Linked DNA regions of Danio rerio. The protein of the gene in region 2 binds, or shares a complex with, the protein of the main gene of each other region. Links are inferred from orthologs where the notes say so. Each region holds a gene or a part of one and is shown on either strand. Other genes may lie near its edges.

Region 1 (3,933 bases), on a different chromosome or scaffold from region 2:
ATAAAATACTGGTGTGAAATACAATTCATTCAGCCCTACAAAACATCTTTTGCTTGTTTGGCTGGACACCTGGTACACTCTAATACTTGTTTTCCACACTTGCATATTTGCAACTGATGAATGTTTAAAAAAAAAGAAAAAAGAAAAAATGTTTCTTTAAAAAAACAACGTAAACAAGTTGATTTGTTGGTTTTAGATTCGTTTGGCACTGATGTAAAATTGGTTTTGAATGTACACATTTGTTTACGGTGCCTATATTTTAACCCACGTTACTTTGAATATTTGGTCTGAATTAGCATGCAAGTACACCTTTAAAACAACATTAGCTCTAACCTTATTAAACTGACTGTGAACAACGTACTTTGATACTGGCTGCTAATATAATTTCCTCGTTTAAAATTAGCAAATGAGACATTTCTGATGAAAGGACAATCTCTAAATGTGCAAATACACCATATTTACCCCAGTCCGTTTGGTTCTTGTCATCTGGTTAGGCTACAATACACATTTAGAAATTCGAGCTGGTATAGTCTGGCAAACTAAGGAGGTCAGCTCAACGCAATATGTTTATTTTAAATGTAAGATTCCTTTTCACTAAAAACCTCAAAACATTTCAAACAAAGCAAAAATGTCTATAGTTCCCAAGTAAAATGCGACATAAGGAAACTAAATAATCGACCGTGTTTAACAAACATGTGGAACAGCTTTCAGTTTGTTGCCAGTGGGTGACAGGAAAAGTAAATGTGTTACCGCTTGCAGATCAGTAGTGAGCACCGGTCATTTATCAGAAGTTCGATCTCAAAGCAGCACAGGCTGATTTGAGAACAGCATATGTTTGCCAGTACTGAGCATGCGTGCATATGGCTTCCGGCCGCTTCCGTTTTAGATTGTTACTATGCAACAAGACGCTCTGATGTGTGGCGTTAACTGTTTTCAGCAGTATTGCATTCACGAGTGAATTATATCAAAACATTTTAAGCTGCCTTAGTCTTGATGTGAGTGTTTTTATAGTAACCGGTGGGAGTTCTACACTATATGTGAAGACTTTTATCTTTTGACGCTGTGTGTCAGATATGGCTGACGGCTGGTGCTCTGACAACGGAGAATCGGTTTACCGTTCCAGGGATGCAGTTAAAAACTTCCGAATACGGTAAGACACGTCGCCTGTGTGCATGTATAACAAACTGATGTATATATTTTAAAGCATTATGAACTATTTTGGACACGGTACTGTGGTGTTGTTTTGGAAGAGCTGTGAAAATACCACAGTAAATTAAAGGGATAGATAGTTCCCCTAAAACTGAAAACTCTGTCATCATTTACTCGCCCTGCTTTTTTCAAACCTTTTCTTTAAGTTTCTTTATATTGCTGAACACAGTAATTCTTCAAAATAGCTTCTCTTCTATAAAAAAAGAAATACTTGAGGCTGAGTAAATACATTAGAAATTGTATCCCTTTGAAAACTATCCCTTTAAATTTTACTTATTTCTATATTATATCAGAGTAACATTGTATTGCATACATCATTACTCTGTGATTTTGTTTAGTTTAGTTTATTTCTCAGTGTACATTAATCATTCACCTAGAACGTAAATATACTTATATTAACCCAAAGACTAGTTTTCATTATTAAGGTAAAGTTGGTTTTATATTCACACATTAATTCAGTGACAACTTGTGACACATTCCCTGCATCGTTTACTACGGCACTTAGAAGATTCGTTCTAAAATAACCTGCAAATGTGACTTGAAAACAACATTACACTGTTTATTTGACTGTGAACAATGTTGTACTTTGATAGTCATTGGCTGCTAATATGATTTCGCTATTTAGAGTTTGCAAATAATACTTTTATGAAATTATATTAGGAGAAAGTCTGAATGTGCGAATATAAAACCAACTTTACCTTTATGTTTTCATTGGTAGTCCCTTTGCCAGATGTTAAAGGCCATACCAATAAAAAAACAAATTCAACTAAAAACAAAACTCAATTAAACAACAGAAAACAACCACAACAACATCAAAAAGCCCAGTGTTCAAAATATTGAATAATAATAAGAAAATTTCTAAAAATGATACTCAAAAAAATCACAATCTCTAACAGATTGTGGTATCTTATTTCACTGATGGGATGCTTTCAAAGAAAAACAAGCTTGACCAAAACAAGTTTTTTAAGTTGAATAGTACAATCAGCTCTATCTGTACCTCAAGTCTTTTGTTTTCTACAGATTTAAACTAGAAAAAAGTTTTACGCAGCGGATGTCCTTCTTGCTGCAACCCCTTACTGGGAGACATCCATATACACTCATTCACATATATACACTACAGACAATTTAGCTTGCCCAACCAATTCACCTATACCACATGTCTTTAGACTGTGGGGGAAATAAGAGCACCGGGAGGAAAACTACATCAACACTGGGATGGGGAGAACATGCAAACTCCACACAGAAATGCTAACTGACCCAGCCAAGACTCAAACCAGCGACCTTTTTGCTGTGAGCGATTGTGCTCCCCACTGCGCCACGGTGATGCCAATCTTTTAAACTGCACAACCATTTTTAAACTTGATTTTTTCCCAACCAAGCAGGCTATGGTTTTTTTAAATATTGAAAAAAAAATTTTTTTTTTACTAAAATCTTTACTAAAAAATTCCAAAAGAAATTACTAAATTACTAAAAAATTACTAATACTTTCCTTCTTAGACTTTAAAGACCTGAAACTTGCCTATAGCACTTATTCATTGTTGCTCTAACAGTTGTGTAAATTGCTTCCTTGTCCTCATTTGTAAGTCGCTTTGGATAAAAGCGTCTGCTAAATGACTAAATGTAAATGTAAATAGTACAGTGTTGAAAACTAAACTTTTTATCCAAAATTTGTTGTTCTTGTTTATATAATATTTATATAGTTCTTTTTATATAATAATTCGAAAGGTTTCAAAACTGTAAAACTTGTTTTTGTGTTAAACCAAATTATCAGACAATTCATATGAGAGAGGATCGTAGAATTTATATACATTTTTGTAGCCTTATTTGATAAAGAATTTCCAATAAACCTAAAATTACCTATATTCAATTTGACCTTGTTACATACCTTTTTATATGTGTTTTAAAACCAAGACAGGAGTCCAGACAAACCCATAGGTATTTACACTCTGTGACATCTTGAACTTTCTCTCCTGAGATAACAACATCCTGTTTTGTTTCAATACGCATGTACTTCTCTAAATGACATGAAGCTATTTTTGACACATTTAATTTTGTGAAACTGCAACTGTTTTTTTGTAAAAGTTTTCACAATGATTCTGTATAATAACTAAATCAATAGTGCTGTGTTTACATGGTATTCAAACATTACTAAAACTAAGCCACTGTAAAACATTGTATCACCTTGTTACTTTTACTGTTTCTGTTTCAGAGTGCGCATTCAGCGTGTGACCTCCACAGCAGCCCTGTCTGAACACCTCCATCAGCAAGTGCTTTCTCAGCAGGAGAGAGGAGTTATAGAGTTGGAAACCTTCAGCACTCAGACGGCCTCCTGTATGTCAAAGACAGATATTAACCTGATAAAGGGATGGCTCACACAACAATGAGAATTTGCTATTTATTTACTCACTCTTTAGACCTAATTCAAATGCTTATTACGGTTTAGATTATTTTCTTACTTTTTAAAAAATACATACAATATATATTTTTAAATATCTATTGGATAGAACAGTAGAGAGTGTAGAGTAATCCATGGGGAGCAGAGAATGGGGAAGAATTAGTAAAGAACCTTGAGCCAAGAATTGAGCAAATCAATGCTATGTGCCAATACACTTAAAGAGCCCTATTTTGCATTAAGAAAGGTCATATTTGGTTTTGGGTTCTCCAACAACAGGTTGATATACATGCAAGGTCAAAAACACTTTGATTGTCTTATAATATGCATTT
Region 2 (3,833 bases):
AAATGAGAACATGGATTGATTGGTTGTAGTCCTGTTAAAAACAGTTCAGTGTTGTTTCCTTTAAGAAACTTGGTGTTAGCATCAGAATAAAACAACAGGACAGCTGTGTGCCCACCGATGTAAACTTCTGCACATATGAGGCTGAGTTTACCCACAATGTTACATAGGAAAATTGGTGTATTCAACAACTTGTTGTTTAGGCTGATTGAACTCAGTATAAGCTGTTTTTAAACTAATAAGCAAGGCCAGAAAGAATCTGTGGACATATTTTCTATTTCTGTGCAGAATTTTGTAAAAAAAAAAAAAAAAACATGTGGATTTATGTGGAAAGATTTTGAGAATGCAGTGACTACAAACTTAACACATTAAATAAACTTTTATTTAAGGTTTGCAATGCAATAAGAACCACTTGTTTGGTGAGTAAAGTAAATCTCTCATATAATGTTTACTAAAAGACAAAATATTACTTTACAAACTGTTTTGTGCATTTCAATATAATTGTAAAAACATTTGAATATTATTTAATAATGTTACTGAAACTAACATAAAACCTTAACAAATATAGAGTTGAAGTCAAAATTATTAGCCCTCCCTAATAAAAGTATTTTCCCCTAATTTCTGTTTAACAGAGATTTTTAGAACACAATTCTAAACATAAAAGCTTTAATAACTATATTCTAATGTCTTTTTATCTTTGCCATGAGACAATAAATAATATTAGATATTTTTTCAAGATACTAGTATTCAGATTAAAGTGTAATTTAAAGGCTTACCAGGTTTATTATGTTAATTAGGCAAGTTAGAGTAATTAGGCAAATCCTTGTATAACAACTTTTTTCTGTAGACATTTTAAAAAAAGTTGCTTCAGGGGGCTAATAATGCTGACCTTAAATGGCTTTAAAAAAATAAAAACTGCTTTTATTCTAGCCAAAATGAAATAATAAGACTAAAAAAAAAATCCTGTGAAAAATTCCTTACTCTGTTAAACATCATTTGGGAAATATTTAAAAAGATATAGAGGAAAATATAAAACAAAAATCACAGGAGAGCTAATAATTATGACCTCAACTGTGTATCGCATTTACAGAAGTAAATAAATAGACTCAACAATGAGCTAAAAATCTTGCAGAGTGAGCTTACTAATAAGAAAGTCTGGAGTTTTTTCTGGATGTTTTTATGACGTCATATCGTCACCTTGGATTTATAAGATTCTATCTGCGTTCTGAATGATTTTGAGATATTACGCTTTAAAGTTTCTGCATTCCATAGCAAACAGTATGTGTGTAACATTTGCTTTTTAAATAAAAAGTCTTAAAATTTAAACAACTTATAAAAAACACCCCATAATGTAAATAAGTTGTCATTTAAAAAGAATATATGAATAACTCAATTTTGACAAAAATGTCAGATAGAACCTTTTTTTAAATATTTTTAAGTTAGGTATGACGATATGTGACGATATGTGAAAAACTAAATTTTGATTTCTCATTTTATGACATCTTTATTTAAACATAGTCAAACTTTACCCGGTATCCTGGTAAACTTCTCACATCAGGTGCACTGCTCACATTTGAACGGCCAAAGACAGAGTCAGCATTCTGGTCAGTGGGAACTTCTGGTGTGGCAAATGACAAGCCTTCTTCATCTTTAAAAGGGATGGGGATGAAATGGAAAAATGATTGAAAACATTTGAAAGTGCACAGTTAACATTAACACATTTCAACCTGTGCTTTTAACACATTTCAACCTCACATTTTAATTAAGAGATTGCTGGAACAGTTTGACCTCAGTAATAACTTGGTGGGCTGGATCCTTCATTTTTTAACTAATCGAACACAAAGTGTTAGAGTGAATGGATGTCTATCTGATAAAGTTTGCTCCTCAACCGGGTCCCCACAAGGATGTGTCCTTTCACCTTTGTTATACATCCTTTACACAAACATGTGTCAGAGCAGGTGGGAAAATAGAACGATTATCAAGCAGGGTTCAACGCTATGGATTTTTTCTACTGGTCTAATCGGGCCAGTGGTTCAGATTTTTACTTGCCCTGCCAAAATTTTCACTCGCCCCACCAAAAAAAAAAAAAACATAGGAAGTTAATAGCTATTTTTTAGCCGCATATTTTAAAAAATGTGTCAAAAATAAATTCTAAATCTAGAATTTAATACTTAAGAAATTTAATAAAAGTGTTATGCAAACAAAAATAGTAGTATGGAAAATGTGGAAGCATTTTATTGCGGTTCAAAATTATTTAACAAAAGATGGGCTGACTTGTCAAACTGACGGCAAACTGTGCAAAACATCACTTAATTTTTTTTGTCGCGTTGTTCTCTTGTAAATGTCTGCCTTCAAGACATTAGAAACAGACATTTTCTTTTAGCCTTATATTTTGATGTTGCCGCCATGTTGCTGTTTCTTCTCTGTACTGGTTGTTACCAGGGGCCTCATGTATCAACGCTGCGTACGCACAAAAACTTTGCGTACGCCAGGTTTCACGCTCAGAACCGCTCACGTTTGGATTTACTAACAATGAACTGAACGTGGGAATGTGCGCAGCTTCACGGCAGCTTTCTGGCTGGCGTACGCACATTTTTTGTGCGTGTCTGTTTTATTTCCATTGGCGACTCCTAGAGGCAGTTGTGTTAAATTGCATTCTACAAAGTGTCTTTGAGCCATGCAATGGCAGCTGTATGAGACGGGTTCATCTAGCAGGTATATAAGGTTTCCATACCACGTAGTTGACCAGCTAAACATTAAAGCACAATTTGCAGTGGTCGCCTGTTTTCCCAATGTAATCTGAGCTCTGTAATCTACTGCACGCACATTGCTATAAAGACACTATCTGAAGATGAATTTGCATGCGTGAATCAGAAACATTTCCATTCAATAAATGTGCAAATAAAATATGATGCACAAACTTATTGATGATTCATACTTGTCTTTCTCGTGATAAAATCTGATATGTAGCGGACGAAAAAGAAGAAAGAGTTCATAAGACGCTGGATTCGAACTGAGTTCATGCTCGAACGTGTCAAAACATGTTGACATGCGTCTTATGAGTTGCGCCACTGAGACTGTTACAGGTATTGCAACATTTTTCAGATATAAACCACATTATTTCTTTTTTTAATGCACTCAGTGCGATGTTCAGACCCAACTGTGTTAACCGCATCAGCTAAACTCTCCCACTCTATTTGTTTCTTTTGTTGTTAATTCCGGAGAACAAACTTGCAAATAAGACCGCTTTTCTCCGGTCTACCTCCGAAAGCAGCACCTCCATTTCACATTCTGTTCCAAGTTTCTCTTTTTGCTTGCTTTTGCCATTGCTTTTTCGTTGGGTTTTAACATTAGCATAGTCATTAGCATATTCATACGGGGGAGGAGGCGGGGAGGGGTTTTGTGCTCGTGCATGTTGCGCTCAGTTTCACGTTCATTCGGATGTACAAAAGAATATGCGTGGGATTCGGCGTACGCAGTGTTTCATACATCTGGGGCTTCATGTACGAAGACTTGCGTGGAAATCTTACTAAAACATTGCGTACGCACAAAGCTGTAAATGTGCGTACGCAGAAAAAAATTCAGATGTATGAAACACTGCGTACGCCGAATCTCACGCATATTCTTTTGTACATCTGAATGAACGTGAAACTGAGCGCAACATGCACGAGCACAAAACCCCTCCCTGCCTCCTCCCCCGTATGAATATGCTAATGACTATGCTAATGGCAAAACCCAACGAAAAAGCAATGGCAAAAGCAAGCAAAAAGAGAAACTTTGAACAGAATGTGAATTGGAGGTGCTGCTTTCGGAGGTAGATCGGAGAAAAGCGGTGT

What was found.
Region 1: tctn1 (region 2) and mks1 share a complex: the UniProt entries of both Homo sapiens proteins name them as parts of the tectonic-like complex. The link is inferred for Danio rerio from reciprocal best matches to the Homo sapiens genes TCTN1 and MKS1.

Annotation. Positions count from the first base shown.
Region 1 is NC_133180.1:61,446,195-61,450,127, reverse strand, and holds the start of mks1 (tectonic-like complex member MKS1), read left to right. Parts: upstream 1-858; 5' UTR 859-1,073; coding exon 1,074-1,150; intron 1,151-3,418; coding exon 3,419-3,540; intron 3,541-3,933. UniProt on the Homo sapiens protein: Component of the tectonic-like complex, a complex localized at the transition zone of primary cilia and acting as a barrier that prevents diffusion of transmembrane proteins between the cilia and plasma membranes.
Region 2 is NC_133185.1:8,983,273-8,987,105, forward strand, and holds part of tctn1 (tectonic-1), read right to left. Parts: intron 1,646-3,833; coding exon 1,527-1,645; intron 1-1,526. UniProt on the Homo sapiens protein: Component of the tectonic-like complex, a complex localized at the transition zone of primary cilia and acting as a barrier that prevents diffusion of transmembrane proteins between the cilia and plasma membranes.